Linked DNA regions of Coturnix japonica. The protein of the gene in region 1 interacts with the protein of each later gene in a biochemical or structural test. Links are inferred from orthologs where the notes say so. Each region holds a gene or a part of one and is shown on either strand. Other genes may lie near its edges.

Region 1 (4,811 bases):
GGGAGAATCCAATGGTTCTTGGAATCAATTGATGGATCCTGGGAGCATCTGAGTGGATCCTGGGAGCATCCAACAGATGCTGGAATCAATTGATGGCTCTTGGGAGCATCCAGTGGCTCCTGGAATCAATTGATGGATCCCCAGCCTCATCCAATGGATCCTGGCCCCCGATGATGGATTCTGGGGCCATCAAATGGATCCTAGCATGGACTTAAGGATCCTGACCCCAGCTGATGGGTCCTGGCATGGGTTAATGGATCCTGGGACCATCACCTGGATCCTGGGACTGCCCGATGGGTCTTGGAATGGGTTGATGGATCCTGCCATCACTCAGTGGATCCTGTCATGGACTTAAGGATGCTGACCCTTAGGTGATGGATCCTGGCACCACATGATGCATTCTGGGATCATCAAATGGATCCTAGGGCCATCTGATTGATCCTGGAACGGGTTGATGGATGCTGGCATCACCCAATGGATCCCTGGCACAGACTTAAGGATCTTAGCCCCAGGTGTTGGCTCCTGGCACCACATGATGCATCTGACCCCATGTGATGGATCCCAGCACCTTCCTAATGGATCCAGTACTACCTGATGGATCCTGGCATGGACTTAAGGATGCTGGTGGATCCTGGCATGGGCCAATGGATCCCAGCACCTCCTGACGGATCAGGTCTCAGGTCATGGATCCCAACACCACCTGTTGGATTCAGGCCCTTGTGGTCCCTTGGCACTGGGAAGGCCCTGTCCGTGTCCCCATGGAGCTGCTCGTGCCGTGTTGTGGACGTTGTTGTGTTATCTCTGTACTGTTTCGCCCTCAGGGCCGTTCTATGGTTACCACGGCCCCCAATACAGCGCGTGCTCCTGCAGCCATCTGCCTCCACGCCTGCTCTGTGGGAATAGGGGCTATGGGGGGGATGTTGTGGTGTGTCCGCCATTGCCCTGGGGCTGTGGGGTGGGTTCTGAAGGGCCTCAGTGCCCCTTTGTGGGGGTCTGGAGTGATCCTGGGGAGGGAATGCAGCTGTTGGGGGATTTGTGTCTGCCATTGAGCACGGTGTGGGTTCAGAGCATGGGTTGGGTTGGAAGGGGCTCCTGGAGACCTTTTGGTCCCACTTCTCACGATGAACTGGGACAAGGTCCCTTCAATCCCAAACTCTTCTGTGCTTTTATGGTGAGGAGGTTGACCTTCAAGGACCTTACCAGTCTGCCCACCCCATATTTGACCTTTGAGGACCCTTCTAACTGCACCCCTCCATATTTGACCTTCAAGGTTCCTTCCAGTCTCATCCCTCCATATTTGACCTTCAAGGACCCTTCCAACCCGCCCCCCTCCAGTTCTGTGGATGATCATTAAGATCAGAGGTTCAGAGGTTGACGTTTAAGGACCCTTTCAATTCCCCCACCCCATATTTGACCTTTGAGGACCCTTCTAACTGCACCCCTCCATATTTGACCTTCAAGGACCCTTTCAAACTCACCACCCCATATTTGACCTTCAAGGACCCTTCCAACCCGTGCCCCCCCAGTTCTGTGGATGATCATTAAGATCAGAGGTTGATGTTTAAGGACCCTTTCAATTCCCTCACCCCATATTTGACCTTCAAGGACCCTTCCAGCCCCCCCACCCCCCCGCCCTTCATCCCTCTGCTTCCATAGGTGCTCATTAAGATCAGACTCGCTGTTGCCGTCCCGGACGGCGGCACCATCAGCTCCTCACCTACCCTCCACACCCCCTGATATGGGTCCGGGCGGCCATGTTTGGGGGGGCGGATAGGGGATCTATAGGGACTACAACTCCCAGCGTGCTCCGCTCGCCTCGCTTTCCAGCAGCGCCTATTGGCTGACGGCGAGCAGCCAATCAACGGGCTCCTTATTGAGAGGGCCGTGAGGCGGCTCTGAAGAAGCAAAGATGGTTCTGGAGAGCACCATGGTGTGGTGAGCGGGCCGGGCCGGGCCGGGCCGGGCCGGGTTGGATCGAACCGGGTCGGGATCGCTGCAGCCCCGGCCCCGACCCTTCTCCCTTCTCGCTCCCTCGTGTCCCGCTGTGCTCTATGGGCCGCGCGGCGCCGCACCGGCTTTCCCTGAGTCATGGCGGGTCGGGGCCGGGCCTGTGGGGGGGGTTGGGGTCAGCGCTGTGGACACATTGGGGTCACATTGAGACACATCAGAGCCGTGTTGGGGCCTATTGGAGGGGGGGCATCGCAGTGGGGCGGCCTGAGCTGCGGAACTGCTGGGGTTCAGTGAGTGTAACCATGTCTGTGGAACGGGGGGTGGGGGGGAAGGGTCCTGAAACATTAACTGTGTGATGGATGTGTTGGGAGGGTCCTTGAAGATCAACCATGGAGTGATTGTGTGGGAAGGGTCCTTAAATATCAACCATGTGATAGTTGTGTTGGGGGGATCCTTGAAGATCAACCATGGATTGGTTGGGTGGAAAAGGTCCTTAAAGATTAACTATGTAATGGTTGTATTGGGAAGGTCAACCATAGAGTGATTGGGTGGGAAGGGTCCTGAAAGGTCAGCTGTGGGATGGGTGGGTAGGAAGGGTCCTTAAAGGTTAACCATGTGATGGTTGTGTTGGGAGGGTCCTGCAAGGTAAACTGTGGGGCGGTTGGGTGGAAAAGGTCCTTAAAGATTAACCATGTGATGGTTGTGTTGGGAGGGTCCTTGAAGGTCAACCATGGATTGGTTGGGTGGGAAGGGTCCTGCAATGTCAGCTGTGGGGTGGTTGGGAAGGGTCCTGAAAGATTAACCGTGTGATGGATGTATTGGGAGGGTCCTTGAAGATTAACCATGGAGTGATTGGGTGGGAAGGGTGCTATAAGATCGGCTGTGGGGTGGTTGGGCTGGAGGGGCTTTGGGATTTGAGTGCACCCTCATTGTGTCTGTGGGTGACGCTGAGCTGTGCCCCCTCTGAGGGATGGTGTTTTTCCAGCGTTGACAACAGTGAGTACATGAGAAATGGGGACTTCTTACCCACCCGCCTGCAAGCTCAGCAGGATGCCGTCAATATTGTGTGCCACTCCAAGACCCGCAGCAACCCCGAGAACAACGTGGGGCTCATCACTTTAGCCAAGTATGGGGCTGGTTAAGACACATAGACCTGGAGGTGCTGTGGGAAGGAGGGAGGGGGGATATTCCACATTCTGGAGCAAACGGGGGTTTCACAGAGAGGTTCTCAAACAGCGTCACTGTAGTTCTTGTTTCTCTTGCAGTAACTGTGAAGTGTTGACCACGCTCACTCCGGACACAGGACGGATCCTTTCAAAGCTACACACGGTGCAACCCAAAGGGAAAATCACCTTTTGCACGGGGATCAGAGTTGCTCATGTAAGTTGTTGTTACTACAAACTGAGCCAGCTTTGGATTGGGGATCTGGGTTGGGGGGAGGAGGAGGAGGAGGCTCATCCACCCGGTGGTTCTCTGCTTCTCTGTGTCTGTGCAGGGCTGCCTCCCAGCCGTCCTCTCTCCTGGGAGCTGCTCCTTGAGCACGATGTGACTTCTGTTTTGTAGCTGGCTCTGAAGCATCGCCAGGGCAAGAACCACAAGATGCGAATCATTGCCTTTGTCGGGAGCCCTGTAGAAGATAACGAGAAAGACGTGAGTAGCGCCAGTCTAAGCAGAATATGTTGTCTCTGCTCTCCATTACCCCTAAACCAGATGGGTGGCTTGTTCCTTGCTCTGCTCTGAGTGGAAGGCTGTGCCCCAGCAGGGCAGTGTGGGCTGGAGCTGCAGCTGTGGGGCTGATTTGGGGCTTTGCTTCGTAAGGATCTTGAGGGCTGTCCCCAGGTTTCCAATGGGAGGGTTGGGCTGTGAGCTGAGATGTGGGCAGTGAGGCACTAAAGCTGCCCCATTTCCTTGTTGCAGCTGGTGAAGCTGGCAAAGCGTCTGAAGAAGGAGAAGGTCAATGTTGACATTATCAACTTTGGAGAAGAGGTGAGACTTGGGCTGCGTTTTACCAGTTAAGATCTGAGCCAGGGGGTCAGGAGAGACATAACATCCCATCACACCCCATAACATCCCATCCCACCCCATAACATCCCATCCCATAACACCCCCTAACACCTCATAACACTCCATAACATCACACCCCATCCCATAACATCCCCATAACACCCCCTCTGTGGCTCCACTGGTGTTGCTGAGGTTCATGTTTCCCTCTGGGGAGGCCCCACATGTTTTGCTGCAGGCCTTGTTATTTTTCCCCGTGGAAACAGCAGAGCTGTGTGCCCCCAGATGGCATTTCTGGCCCCTTGCCTCTGGGGTTTGTGACCCGTGTGGTTCTGCTCTGTGCCTGGATTATGTTTGGTGGGAGGAGAAGGGATAATGGCGGACTGGGGAGCAAGAATGGCATCACCTGGTGCGCTGCGGCTAGTGGTGCTTCCAGGTATGGGGGCAGCATGGGGGGAGCTGGGCTCCCAGCCTCTCTCTTCACCTAGGAAGCCAACACGGACAAACTGACGGCCTTCATCAACACCCTGAATGGGAAGGATGGAACAGGCTCCCACCTGGTGACGGTGCCGCCAGGGCCCAGCCTGGCCGATGCCCTCATCAGCTCCCCGATCCTGGCTGGTGAGGGGGGAGCCATGCTGGGCCTGGGAGCCAGCGACTTCGAGTTCGGTGTGGATCCAAGTGCCGACCCAGAGCTGGCCCTGGTGAGTGGGATGGGGGGCAGCAGTGTGTGCCCTGCTGTGCTGCTCTGGGCTGTGCCCCTCAGTGCTGCGCTCTGCCCATCTCTGCAGGCTCTGCGTGTCTCCATGGAGGAGCAGAGGCAGCGGCAGGAGGAGGAGGCCAGGAGGGCTGCGGCTGCA
Region 2 (4,804 bases), on another chromosome or scaffold:
TCTTATCCAAACAGAATAGCCTTACAATATGTTTTCTAGTCCATAATACTATACCCATACTATTTGGAACATTTAAAAACTATTGCAGTTTTGCAAGCAAGAATTAATCACATAATTCAGCAACTATATTTCTAAAATATGCTACTAACATATATGGTATTTCTACTTTTTCACATCAGCTATTTCTAAGGACAAGTTACAAAATACAAATACATTTGTTCTGCTTCTTCAGATCGACTGCCTTTTTCAATATGTAATGCAGAAACAACATTCCATTCCCACATTAAGAACCTACTAAATTCAAGTTCTTATTTTGTACTCCTTACCTCTTAGGTACTCTCACTGAATACCACAGATGCCTAATAATCTAAACTGTAAATCTCTTCTAGCCTAATGGATAGCAGTTGTGCTATTTTGGTACAAACTGTACTCAAGTAGCCATACAGTCAGCATGAGCTGTTGTAAACTAAGAGTAGCCCTGGTTGCAAAAGCCCTTGCACTTTGATCCAATTGATTGCTGCTTGAAACCACTGCTTGGTTGAGCAAAGCACTACCTGACTCACTGCGGCCCTCATTCTACCACCATTCTGTGTCAAAGCGCCCTGCTGCACCACAGTTCAGTGCTGTGTAGGGTCACAACTAACACGGGAAAAGGAATGAGTGTGACAAAAAAAAGGCTCAGAGATTAAATATACCTGAAAGCATTTTTTTTCCTTAACACACCAATTCTCTAGGCCAACCAGAACTTCAATGGGCCTTCCGCCAGCTTTTGGTATCCCTGTTTTAAAACCTGTTGACAGGTTTTAAATGGATTGCACAATAGTTTTAGAGGACTGGAGGCAGCTCTGTGGTGTTACCAGCCAACATGATTTACACTGAGTTCCTACACATGAGATTATCCTCACACCACAGCAAGACAGCAGCTCCTCCGCTGCACAGCGTCCTCTGGGAAACCGAGCTGTTAATGAAGGATGAGGAGGAGCAGGCACTCGGTGTCCTACGGAAATCCATGATTGTGTTTCATGCTTAAAAGAGAAATTCGAATCTTTAATTTACGAATATCACTAGGTAGAGCCTGACTTGGTGACGCTAGAATTAATTAGCGATTAAGTGCACTTGGTCCAAAATTCAGAGCAACGTGCAACCCGTCTATGGAGCAGTGCCTCAGGAATCCCGCTTCCAGAACAGTACACGTTCGACATTATTGCCGTACAACAGCGCAGAGCAACAAACTGAAAGACCAAACTCAGACCAGACCGCCCCGCCCCGCCCCGCAGTTGGCGGCGTACGCGAGACTAACTGCGCCTACGCGAGCGTGGCGCATGCGCGCAATAGACGCCGTGCATCCAGCCCCCACCCGGGCAGGCAGCGCCCCTTTCTAGTAACTTCCCCGAAGAGCTGCGTCATCAATGCGCGCCGCGGCCAGGACGGGTATTTCCGCCCGGCGCTACGGGAGCGGGCAGAGCCCGTTGGGGGGTGAGGTGAGAGTAGGGAGTGTTGTGCTTGTTCCGAGCTGACGGGCGTTAGGTGCCGGCCCGGCCCCGCTCACGATGTCAGACAGCACAGACAGCCCCGCGGGGCGCCGCAGTCCCCCGGAGACTCCTGCTCAGGGCTCAGCTGCCGACGAACCGCGCATTATCAGAGTCACGGTGAAGACTCCCAAAGAGAAAGAGGAGTTCTCTGTTGCCGAAACCAGCAGCATCCGGCAGGTGAGGGGCGGCGAGGAGCGAGGGAAACGCGGCCTGCCGGCCGAGCTCTGCCGCGCTCCGCGGCCTCACGCTGCAGGGCTGGGGCCCGTGCCCGTGACGAAGCGACTGCTGCCTGCCCGAGCTCCGCGGGGCCGGGCCGGAGAGCGGCGGGGCTCGGTCGTGGTCCGCTCCCGGCGGGGCGGCCGCATCCCCCCCCCGACCTCTCGCTACCCGCGGTTGTGTGTCGGCTCGGGAGGAGGCCCGGCCCGGCTCTTGTTGCGTTGCCCGGCCCGGCTGACTCAGGCTGGCAGCGGGAGGCGGCAGCTTGCTTGCCGGTGAGGCTGCGGAGAGCGTGCGCAATCACCTTGCTGAGAGCGTTGTGGGGCCGGTCGTTATCTGGATAAAATGTGCTCTAAAAAAACAACACTACCAAAAAAAACCCAAACAAACAAAAAAAAAACCCAAACAACTGAGAACGCCACGGCGAGCATCAGAATTTTAGGGAAGTTGTCTTTTTCGAGAGATTATAGAATTTGCAGTGTAAATAAAGTGCAACTTCAGCTGCACTTTTCTTATGAAAGCCTGTGCCCCCTCCACCCCAACCCTGGTACCTTCGGTTTGAAAGAAGTAGTGAATCATCATCTCGATTTCCTGTAATGCTCCTGTAATGTTTTTTTGTGGAAGTTTTCTGTGCAGGTGTTGATGGGGGCTTTTATTTGAGTTAGAGGGCAACCAACCATAGAGGAACTACAATCAAAGCCTAAGGTAGAGTCTGTAAAATCAGCCTTCTGTTTGTGAAGGAGATGGATACTGTTTTGCTAAGATACTCCAAAAGATGCAGTTACTTGGAGGGGATTCAGAGCTTACTTTGTCCATATGATTTATCTGAAATGTTCTTTAAAGTATCTTTGGATGAGGTGCCTCAGTTTGAATTCTTTTTTTTTTTCCCCCTTCTTGCATGTGACTTGTAACTGCAAAGTAAAACATGGGCATGTATGTGAGCTCTGCTGCCACAGAAATCCAGCCATGAAAGTTGACAACCTGAGTGACAGGTTACAAAGCTGACATTATTTTATTTTAGCTCTGGGTGTATGGTTGGTTGATTTTCCTAGCATGCATACCTAGGATGTAAAGTAACAGATCTCGTACACTTCAACATGTAAGTATACATACTATTTCCACTGAAGTGATGGTTTATTCTTAGAATTGCTTTATATATTAAAATGTAGTGCCACACATGTGATGAGTTAATATAGGGTTCTTTCTAGGGAATCTTTGGTGGTTGTCAGGTTCCACTGGGAGGTGTTGCCCATGCCAGAGGTGGTGTGGGCCAGGCCTGTATTTAGTCCAAAACCTGTTTTTGAGAGTCTTGGCTATTTAAGTTTCTCATTAGCACATCGACCTTATTATGGTGCCTGTATTATCAAACCCAGCAGCGTACAGCTTAGCTCCTCAAAGCTTGTGGGATGAGACTCTGCTTTTAGGCTTCAGATGTCCTGCTTATCTGGGAAACACAGCCTTTCCTAAACTGAATGTCAGTTTGCCAAGGAGTTTGAATTAGTTGCTGAAGGCTCTGAATTTATCTCCAGGTGTCACCACTGTTGTCAAAATGCAAAGCTTGATATCATTTCTTATGGTTAAACCAGAAGATGCTATGTGGTTATCAAAGGGGAATACAAGAGGTGAAGTAAAAGCCCTGAGTGTAGTACCAGCAACTGGGCTAGAATTTAAATCTTTGTTCTACCTAGTTGCTGTGAGGCGACAAGATGCTGGTATTTCTTTCAAGTTTTTCTCATTATTTTGCTTATAAGCATCCCAGAAATAAGCTTAATTGAGGTCCTCTCTCCAGCTGCTGGGGAAGTGATACTCTTCTGTCTTTGGGCTTTTTGCAGCATCCTACCTGCTACTCTATCTGCAAACTTAATCTAGGCATTTCTCCCAAAGGTGAAATGGCAGCGTTTGCTTTTAATGTTTGCAGAAATCTGTCAGAAGGGGGTACTTTTTTTCCTCTTCTAAGCAACATCAGCACTGTTATAAAGTTACTGGAAAGTTCTTTATGGGGTCTTTTTTAATTTTTTTGGAGATTCATATTCCAGATCTAACAGGAGGAAAGTATCTATCACCAAAAACAATGTAATTGCAAATTATTTGGATACTTAAGGAGGTGTAAACAAATTTACTTAAGGTGAAATTTATATTTACAAATTTATCTTTAGCAGGATTTTTTTTTTTTTTTAAATATGAAGGCCAGTTGGGATGCCAGGTTGTTTTGTGATCAGTTGTCTTAAAAGCAAATGTCTAAATAAGCTAGCAAGCACACTTTACTAAAAGAAGACATATGATTTTAAGTAGTTAATAGAAGATGCTGCTTGAAATTTAATTGTTGTCCACTTATCTTAAGCGCTAAACATTTGACAGTACATTAGAGGTACAGACTATTTGCAGTTATACCTTGGTTCCCATGAAGTAAGATTGCCCCTGGAGGCCCACCATTTGCTGTGGGTCCTAAGCTGTCACAACTACCACTAAAATACACAGTGTCTGGTAGTGGCTAATGTTAATCTGTTTTTCTTAAACTGTAATAATAAGCTGTTTTTAATAGTAAGCATCAGCAGTAAATATGATGTTTCCAGAGCTGACCCTTAAAATGGGTTAGTCTCACGTTTGTTTTTTTTTTTTTTTCTGTATTGAAAACTTCAGTAATGGAGTCATTGCTGATGCTGCGTTGTGCATCTAGAACATGGAGTACACAGGTTGCAATGGAAAATAACCTTCAAGTTATAAGCCCCTTTGGAAGGTCATTTGATTAGAGACAAGTGCTGCTCATCTGTCTCTTTCTTATTTTGTTTTTTCTCTGTTTGTGCTCAGCATGTATCATAGTATCATAGTCTCGTGCAGGTTGGAAGGGACCTTAGAGATCATTGAGTCCAACCCCCCGGAATTCGAGCCTCCTGTGTAGCAGAGCAGCACTTCTACCATTTGTGCCACAGGGGGGATTCGAACCCAGGGCCTCCGGTGTTGCAACGCGGCATTCCTACCACTTGTGCCACCGGGGCACACAATGTCTTTAATCACTATCAGTACAAGGAATTCCCATTGGTTCTTCCCACAGGTTT
Region 3 (4,579 bases), on another chromosome or scaffold:
TAGGCCGTATGTACTGCACTCCTCCTGACACGGTGTTATGTAATCCTATCCTGGTTTTTAGTAAATTTAGAGGATGTGCAAAACTCAAAATGTTGTGTAAAAAAATATATTGGTCTATGGCCTTAAAGATTATCCAGAAATAGCAAAATCTATATTAAAGGTGTAAAATTGCAAATATTTACAACGTTCATTGCTCAGCAAAAAATCGCCATCATTCTCAACTATATTCGCATGCTTTTAAAGCATTTGACTCCTTTACAGCAGTCAGGTACACTTTGTGTTTGGAAAATCATTGATCCTATTGTCAGTTTAAAAATAGATTTCCTCAAACTGTATGAGCACTTTTGAATTTATGCATCTGTCACTCATAAAAAATTCAAAGGAGTATGTCTTCAGTTAGAACATTGCAGTGGGAATGGGAAATCTTCAAGAGGGATGGTTATTGCAATCAATACCTAAACAGTTCAAATGTCAGGTAGCCAGTGACTAATTGATACAAATGATTTTATTGCTTTATATTACTTGCTAATTCCTTTGCTTTGTGCTAGTGGAACTGTTTATTGGCTGAAGCAGCCCACTGGGATTGAGTGTACTGTTTATGCAGCCTTAGTGACTGGTATGGATGTAGTCAAGCTTTTCTTGTTGCATAGTTCTTGTAGTCACTCCCCTGGTCAAGGGCTCAATGAGCACATTCAGCACCCTTGTGAAAAACAACACTGCCAGCTGAATGGCTGTAAGCTCATGAGTTTATTTGCCAGGCTTCTCAGGATATATAAACCACTCTCTGCAGCTCTAAAAATGATATGGCGAGTGCGGTAGTGATTTCCTGCACTGAAGGAACATGCCAGCAGGAGTTATGTACTGCAGATGTTTTAGTGAACTCTGAAAAGACCACAGTGTAATACAACACTCCCAAACATTTCTGCTAGCGTGTGATTTTTCTCTCCATCATTACCTTCCACAGAATTGTATCTGTGGGGAACCAATTTATGTGACCGTGCTCTGCAGTATAACAGTGAATTGTTTTGCTTAGTATTATTTAATGTAACTTAGCTCTAAAACTCAGTTTTCTGCATGCATTTGTTACGTGCAGCAGGAAAGAGCACAAGGGGCATAGAAAGTGTGTGTGTCCTGTGTCTGTTAAGGTCAGTTGTGGATCAGAGATTTGTTCCAGGACTTAGTGGTTGCCTGGACTGCTGGCTGGATGGGTCCCTTTTGGTTCTGATGTTTCTCTTCAATTTATAGCTCTGCTGGGGGAAGCACGTGGCTTTTGTTTATTAGTCACTAGCTATTCTGTGAAGGGAAATCCCATACAGTTCCTCTTTTCCAAATTATACACTACAGTATTAGTAGCTTTTCTCTTAAAACAGTCAGTGCTCTCTGAAATTGACAAATAAGCCACTTGTAGTCACTCTAGTACAGACCGGCAGTGAGAAATGTTTGCTTTAAAAGGTGTTTTCTCTTTTTCAGTGTTTGTCAGGTTCAACTCAAGCCATGGCTTCCCGGTGGAGCTTGGGTTGGAAGCCAGCATCCTCCAGCTGAAGGAGGCGGTTGCGCAGCGACAGGGAGTTCCAGCTGACCAGCTGCGGGTGATCTTTGCAGGGAGAGAGCTCAGCAACGACTTAACGCTGCAGGTAAGCCTCTGTGGTAGCTTTGCTCCTGGACTGCTGCCAGCTCTGCTGCCTCTGCCTCTAATGCTGCCAATCTGACATTCATTCCTGAGATCTAATAGAATAAATAGTGCCTGGGGATTCCTTGAACTTTACTCCACACTGCTTCATTAATTCTGACCTTCTTAATTATGCATTAAAACAGCAAGCAGGAAGGATAGGGAGAGCATATGAGTGAGAGAGTATGGGAGAGAGCTGTGCCTAGTGAATAAATGTTTACTGACTACAGAAGCAAGCCATGCACAATTTCTGTATCTGTTCAATTTTTATTTTACTTATTCCATTTGAATCTTAATGAAGAAGGATGTGAATAAATTGCTTCAGATCAGGCTGCACGGTCAGCACATTCTGTAGAATTTGTAACCCAATTGTGACCCCTGGAGGATAGCTACAGGGCTGCTGCTGCTGTTCTGAATGCTGCCGTGTGCCATACACAGGTGAACGCACTGCTGGAATGATGGTTCCAGTTCTAAAAAGCTCATGGAAGTGTGATCCAAACCACCAAGCTCATAAATGTGTGAAACTGAGAGCAGCAAGGAGTGTGGAAGAATGGCTATAAGTGGGTATCTGAATTTCAGTTTTTCAAGGTTAGGTAGCTGTTCAGTTCAATAAGTGCAGAATTGTTCATCTGTGATGAGCTGTAGTAAGCATGGAAATATAGGTTCAATTTTCTCTTCCTTGTACTCTTTACTACTCTTCCCAGTGCTGCCACAGTTGCTTTATCATTGTTTTTATTTATACTATGAGTAGTGAATGTGAATTTCAGAGTATGTTCAGGAAGGGGTTAGCATAAGATCATACATCTAAGACATGTAGGAACATAGGAAAACCTAAAGGCCTTTGAATAGAGTGCTCTTGAATTTACTGCCTTAATGAAACTGCTATCCTTCTGCAGTTGTATCAAAATAACAGACACAGTCTCTACTACTGCAGGTGATTATATAAAAGGTCCCTCACAGGCAGAAGTATTTCATGTTAATTAGCAGTCGTGTTTCAGAAGTATTTCTGTAATTAAAATGGATGCTAAGTCTGGGTACAGAAGGGTTACTACTGTATTAATGACCCGTCCTATTTCTCTGTGGTTAAGATACTCAATATTTTGCAAAGGATTTTAGTGTGTTTTAGGACAGAACACAATACAGAAATATGAACTGTTGTCAGTCCACAATGCATAACCTATAGATAGCATTGATGCATATATTTGTGATGTAAACTGCAGTGTATTTCACTTATATTTTTTCACATGTGAGAAGAAAAATAGTGGAAATTACCAGATACCAGTTGCTAGTTCTGGTTGTCTGTGTTATCCTGTCCTAAGCTTATGAACTCCTAGTGTTTCCTGAGCAGCTGTAGGTATTGGTGTTACTGCTATTTTATGTCACAGACATTGAATCATGTTTTTTGCCTTTAAAAAAAATTGCTGTCAGTTACAACATACAATGCTTTGCTGTGCAAATTAAAATGTGCTTTTTGGATATAGAAGCCTGCTGACTATTTGCTTAATTTATTTAATAGGAATGACAGAATTATCAAGTGTAGCCAAGTCTTACTAATAAACCGGATCTATGTTCATTGCTGTGACTTTCATTTTCTAAAGCATATAGGATGTAAAATGGCTATTTCAGGTGGCATAATCCATATTTGTGTATTTAAGTGCCTTACATAATCCAATGATTAATACCAACATGTCAACAAGATTTTTATTCCTGGTATTTAATTATTTTAATTGTTTTTATCTATTCATTGTAGAAATTGTCAACACAAGAAGAATGGTAGATGGTTTGATATATCTGACTTTTCCTACAGAAGGCAATTTGGGGCTTTTTGCATAAGCAGCTGAGTGCTAGTGAAATAGTAACTGCTGGCATTAATGTTGCATCTGTAATATCAGAGTTAACATCACATAGAAGAAAATTAATAACAGTTGTTTTCTGGACCTAATGATTTGCATGCAGATAAAATAAAACAAAACACAACATACATTTTTACATGGCTGAATCTTAGTTCTTGGTAGCTTAGAATTTCTAATTAGACCATTTTTTCCTTTTGTTTTTATAAATTACTTTTGTGCTTACTTACCCAGGATACTGTGGGAGAATTTAGAGATTTGGAATGAGCTGGGATAATCTTAGGAGTGTGGGGCAGGGATATAAGAAATATATCCCTGGATAACAAAGTTTACTGGTTTCACAGCTTGCAGAACTGCTAGATTTGGCTTGACAGCTACTTTGGGATCTCGTGCAGGTGATACAGAACACAACTGAAAATGTGAAAACTACATTTGTTTTCCTGTTCAGAGAGAATGGAAAAATCTTTCATGGTAGCTGAATACTGTAGAAGAGAAATGCATGCTGACTGGACAAATATTAGAGAGAAATAAGGATAAGGAAGAAAATGCCAACTTGAGATCTTTACATAAGTGAAAAATTTGAGAACAACAACAGTACAAAATATCTAGGAACGACAGGAGTGAAATATGTGTGGAGACATTTAATTTGGTAGCGCAGATTGGTGTTTTGTCCTTGAAAAAAGAGAAAGATTAGACAATGATTCAACTGTACACAAGGGAGATCAGTATCTCTGCTAGTGACAAAGGAGCAAGTAGTGAAATTAGAGCCGTGCTAAGAAAAGATTGGTAATGACTGGGTGAAGAATGAGACTTGCAAAATTTGGATCTCATAGGAAGGAATTAGAGCAATAACCTGCTTCATAAAAGCACAGCAAATGATGTCACTTTAAGGGTGCTAAATATCCTGAAGAATGATGAAGAGCTCCCTGCTGATTACAGTTCACTTTGGAATGAATAGAAGTAATTAATTAATATATACTCAAAGTAGGAAATGTTTCAGAAGACGATCATGGGTATATGAGAACACTGGTAAGAGTTTTTATGTCAATCAGAAGGGCAA
Region 4 (4,613 bases), on another chromosome or scaffold:
TGTCCTGTAGAGAAGATCACGTGTATAAAGCTGAATCCTCTCAGCCTTCAAAACAGTAGAGCTGTATCCAAGCCACTGATGGAGATCAGTTCCTCACATCGCGCCTGACCATTGCTTGGTAAAACAGCAGGTGGCCCAGGCAGAGCTGCATCAGAGGGGATGCTGACAACTGTCATTATTGCGGTATGTTTTATGCAAGAAACTAAAGGCTGAAGCCCGGCTTTAAGGGGCACGTTGTTTGGAACCTCACTTAGAATAGTGAGTACCATCATAATAGTAAACCATCCCTTGCCTTTCCAAGTTCTAACACTGGAGGTTTAGTCAGCTGCCTAGGCTAGAACAGCCACAATATAAATCACTGTAAGAGCGCTGCCACATGCCATGGTTAAAAGCTAAAGGAGGACTATTTTATATTGTCAGCCAATGATGACACAGCACTCAATACGCTCATTGCAGCTAAAAAGAAAGGGGACTTTTAAAAAAATTAAAGCTGTCACTTCAACAAGAGCCGTGTTAATAAAGTGATATTCATTTGCTAATGCAACTTTAGGCATTTTACAACTGAAAAAAAAATCTGCTCTTTATTATTAATATGAACAGTTCAGACAGAAGAAATCAAATTGAACTAGACAGACACTCAAATCTAATTTACTTTCCTTAATTGAAAGATCATTTCTCATTAAATCCTAAGGGGAAGACAATTACTGGCCTCCCGACACTATATCCCTTCTTCACGATACTTCCATATATCTGAGGAACTTAAACTATATCTACACAACATCTTCTCCCTTCCAGCATAATAATAATTATCATTATTAATATCAAACACAGATCCATCATGCAAAACACCCAAAGAAGCTGAGGAAGAACACATTTGCATTAGATACGTACCTAGAACTCAAAAGCCCATAAAGTAAAGTTACTTATCCCAACTTTCCTGCAACATCACTTACTTTTCTCCGAGGCAGATGGATATCAAGCCTTGCAATCCCAGTCACTTTATAATTTTCATTTCCTGTTCCGCGCTCAATTGCTTTGCACCGTATTTCTTCCAGCATATTCTCTGCATCGTTCTCATTGATTTTCAGCTTGGATGCGTATTTCTGTACAAGCTCCTAAGAAAACAGCAAGAAAACCTGGCAAAATGCATCAGTAATACAACTGCAGGATACATGATGTCAGCTCAGATGGAATATTTACCTTCATCTCTTCACCAGCTTCTTTTTTATCATTTGTATATGGTGGTTTCCATAGCTGAATTTTGTCTTCTCTCAAGCAACTCGTCAGCTTTGCTATCAAATACTTCTTTTGTGCCATTCTTCTAAAACAAAAGCAAGCAAACAAAAAATACCATTGAGTATGAAACACATTTTGTTGAGGAAGGGGAAGCTAACAACAAAACTACTACCAAAAATTAGAACGTGAGTAACTCAGGAGCCCCCAGCTTTGGTATTTTGTGATAGCAAATCTCTTCCTAACCTCTCATATAAGCTATAATTGCAGAACACATTGATTCTTCAGAATCCGTGACAAAACTATTCTTTCCTGCCCTGGAAAGTGCTGCTCATTCCAATCCCTCTGCAAAATCACAGAATGACCCAGGTTGGAAGGGACCTCAAGGATCATGTAGTTCCAACCCCCTGCCTAGCAGGGCCACCAAACATACACCTTTACTAGATCAGGTTGCCCAGGGCCCCGTCCAACCTGGTCTTGAACACCTCCAAGGACGGGGCATCCACAACCTCCCTGGGCAGCCTGTTCCAGGGCCTAACCACTCTCCTAGTGAAGAACTTCCCCCTAACATCCAACCTAAATCTTCCCTCTTTTAACTTAAAACCATTTCCCCGTGTCCTGCTATTGCCAGCAAAATGTGTCAGTGCCTTTTGCCTTCCTATATGATTCCTGATGCCTTCCTGACTGAATGATCTCAGAGGCCTTATTCAATCTCAGTGATTCTATAGCAAGGAATAGAGAAAGCAGACAGAGGGTAAGGAAAGGATGATGAGGCGATCTCCGAAATAAATAACCAACACAAAGAAAATCTATTTACTTATGACTTGGCTCTCGTACACTGGGAATCGTACGGGAGATGCCTTTTAATTTATATAGAAAGACATTTAAGTTGTTGGCATTGAATATTGATTAAACTGCCACTTTGGAAGGGACTTCAAGAATCATGAAGCTCCAACCCCCTCTGCTGCATGCAGGGCTACCAACCTCTATATTTAATACCAGCCCAGGCTGCCCAGGGCCCCATCCAACCTGGCCTTGAACACCTCCAGGGATGGGGCATCCACAGCCTCTCTGGACAGCTGTTCCAGCACCTCACCACTCTCATAGTAAAGAACTTCCCCCTGACATCCAACCTAATTCCCTCCTTCAACTTAAAGCCATTTTCCCTTGTCCTGCTGTTATCTACCCTTTCAAAGGGTCGACTCCCCTTCTGTTTATAGGCTCCCTTTTAAGTACTGAAAGGCTGAAACGAGGTCATCCCGCAGTAAACGGCAAGAGAATCCTGAGCAAGAACTTAGGAGAGATGCTTCCACCAAGCAGCACAAACATCCCTGATAGTTTCACTTTCACTGAGCTTAAAGGGACCCTCCCCAAACAACCGATGGGGATTTACCAAGGGCTGTTCTGAATGCTGGACTGAGCTTTCTGTCACGCAAACGTCACCTTCTGAGCCAGCTGGGCTCAGAAAAACAAGCATAAAAATCAGGTTTGAAAGCCAAATCGCTGAGAAAAGGAGGTTTCTGAGCAGTCTAGCAATAAAACAAGATAGAAACATAAACAAGGTGCCATACAGCAGCTATTTAATGATCACTCGCGGCTCCAGGGCACATAGAGAAGCGAAGCAACTCAGCACACACCCAGCCCACCCAGCACCGACACCCTTATAACCCTGTGCCATAGGGATGAACTCCCAGCACTATCACAGCTCAAAGCACCACAAGGGCGAGGCCTAAAGCAGGCCGCAGTGTGAAGGGAAGCACCCACCTGAGCCCTGCAGTGAAACACAGGCCTCGGCGCTCAGGCTGAGGGGACAACGAGCCCTAGCAACCGCTGCCCCAACCCCCATAAAGACCCAGAAGCTTGTTCTGAGGGATAACAAGGCGGTAGCTCACCCGCTGTCGGCGGCCTGTAGGAGGGGCAAGGCGCAGGGCCCGCCCCCCCCGCCATGTTCTTACCTGCGGCTGTGTGGGGTGGGGCCTGCAACGCCCGCCTCCTGACCGCTACTTCCGGGAGGTCCCCGCTCTGAGGGCGGAAGTGGAGGAGTGGGTCACGTGGTGAAGCCAAGCGATGGCCGCCATCTTAGCACTTTGCCCTCACTTGTGGATGGGAGGTTTTTAATCACAGAATCAATGACCCGGGTTGGAAGGGACCTCAAGGATCATGTAGTTCCAACCCCCCTGCCTGGCAGGGCCACCAAACATACACATTTACTAGATAAGGTTGCCCAGGAGACCCCATAGACCCCATAGAGACCCCATAGACCCCATAGAGACCCCATAGACCCCATAGACCCCATAGGGACCCCATAGACCCCATAGAGACCCCATAGACCCCATAGATCCCCATAGAGACCCCATAGATCAGGTTGCCCAGGGCCCTGTCCAACCTGGCCTTGAACACCTCCAAGGACGGGGCATCCACAACCTCCCTGGGCAGCCTGTTCCAGGGCCTAACCACTCTCCTAGTGAAGAACTTCCCCCTAACATCCAACCTAAATCTTCCCTCTTTTAACTTAAAACCAGTTCTTTTAAGTTCTAATCTGATACTTTAGACACCTCCCAGACTCAGGAACACGTTTGCCTCCATTTCCTTTTGTACCTTCTGCTATAGGTCCCATAATGGCCCATTGCTGGGGTATATTCCTTAGGCAGCTGTGTGGCCCTTGTGGGAATCAAATGTTGTTTCTGCATTTAGAACAAAATATGAATATATAAGTGAAGAAATTTGCAGTTATTAGGTAAAAATCATAGTTACAAAGACTGCAGCTTCTGTCTGTCCAGCTGTCTGAAATAGAACTACTGGTTTTTGGTGCTGGACAAATAAGATCCAAAGAGGAGAAGTTAAAATAATTAACAATATGCCTGTATAAACTAGCAACAATGTATGTATTAATGTTTTGTTGTTCAAAAATACAAGTCATGACATACCTAAGGATGTGCCTGAAGAGATATCGGGAAGGACTGGAATCACCCCTCTCCTCTGGGCTCTTTGTTTAACAAAGGCCTCTAGGACAGAATGGAAGAAGCTTTAAAGGGAATCAGCATACCAATACGATAAGAGTACCGAGACATCTTGGAAACAGAAACAGCAGGATGGCAACTGACTGGCACAAGATAGCAAGTGAACTAACAAATTTCAGAATGTAATTAACAAATGCAAACCTTGGGTAAAATTATAACCTGTAATACCCAACCAAAGGGGAGAGGGGAGGGGAAAACACATGGGAGAAAAGGTATAAAAACTGTAACATCATGTCCATAGGTGCGCTTCTGCTATCAGGGCACCCGCCATTGCAATCATGAATAAAAACTGCTTTTATCAGAGATACCATCCTGACCAAAAATTATTGAGGATATTTCCAACAGCCCTGCAGATATTGT

What was found.
Region 2: the proteins of PSMD4 (region 1) and UBQLN1 form a complex in vitro, tested with the Homo sapiens proteins (6 studies listed by BioGRID and IntAct, with this or other methods). The link is inferred for Coturnix japonica from reciprocal best matches to the Homo sapiens genes PSMD4 and UBQLN1.
Region 3: the proteins of PSMD4 (region 1) and PRKN form a complex in vitro, tested with the Homo sapiens proteins (6 studies listed by BioGRID, with this or other methods). The link is inferred for Coturnix japonica from reciprocal best matches to the Homo sapiens genes PSMD4 and PRKN.
Region 4: the proteins of PSMD4 (region 1) and NUB1 form a complex in vitro, tested with the Homo sapiens proteins (2 studies listed by BioGRID). The link is inferred for Coturnix japonica from reciprocal best matches to the Homo sapiens genes PSMD4 and NUB1.

What each region holds. Positions count from the first base shown.
Region 1 is NC_029540.1:2,264,577-2,269,387, forward strand, and holds the start of PSMD4 (26S proteasome non-ATPase regulatory subunit 4), read left to right. Parts: upstream 1-1,811; 5' UTR 1,812-1,909; coding exon 1,910-1,935; intron 1,936-2,935; coding exon 2,936-3,076; intron 3,077-3,215; coding exon 3,216-3,330; intron 3,331-3,513; coding exon 3,514-3,600; intron 3,601-3,867; coding exon 3,868-3,936; intron 3,937-4,439; coding exon 4,440-4,655; intron 4,656-4,742; coding exon 4,743-4,811. UniProt on the Homo sapiens protein: Component of the 26S proteasome, a multiprotein complex involved in the ATP-dependent degradation of ubiquitinated proteins.
Region 2 is NC_029547.1:36,155,903-36,160,706, reverse strand, and holds the start of UBQLN1 (ubiquilin-1), read left to right. Parts: upstream 1-1,550; coding exon 1,551-1,709; intron 1,710-4,804. UniProt on the Homo sapiens protein: Plays an important role in the regulation of different protein degradation mechanisms and pathways including ubiquitin-proteasome system (UPS), autophagy and endoplasmic reticulum-associated protein degradation (ERAD) pathway.
Region 3 is NC_029518.1:40,121,937-40,126,515, forward strand, and holds the start of PRKN (E3 ubiquitin-protein ligase parkin), read left to right. Parts: upstream 1-1,325; 5' UTR 1,326-1,436; coding exon 1,437-1,634; intron 1,635-4,579. UniProt on the Homo sapiens protein: Functions within a multiprotein E3 ubiquitin ligase complex, catalyzing the covalent attachment of ubiquitin moieties onto substrate proteins. Substrates include SYT11 and VDAC1.
Region 4 is NC_029517.1:5,523,608-5,528,220, reverse strand, and holds the start of NUB1 (NEDD8 ultimate buster 1), read right to left. Parts: upstream 3,255-4,613; 5' UTR 3,189-3,254; exon of another isoform or gene 2,998-3,188; intron 1,322-2,997; 5' UTR 1,318-1,321; coding exon 1,201-1,317; intron 1,116-1,200; coding exon 954-1,115; intron 1-953. UniProt on the Homo sapiens protein: Specific down-regulator of the NEDD8 conjugation system. Recruits NEDD8, UBD, and their conjugates to the proteasome for degradation. Isoform 1 promotes the degradation of NEDD8 more efficiently than isoform 2.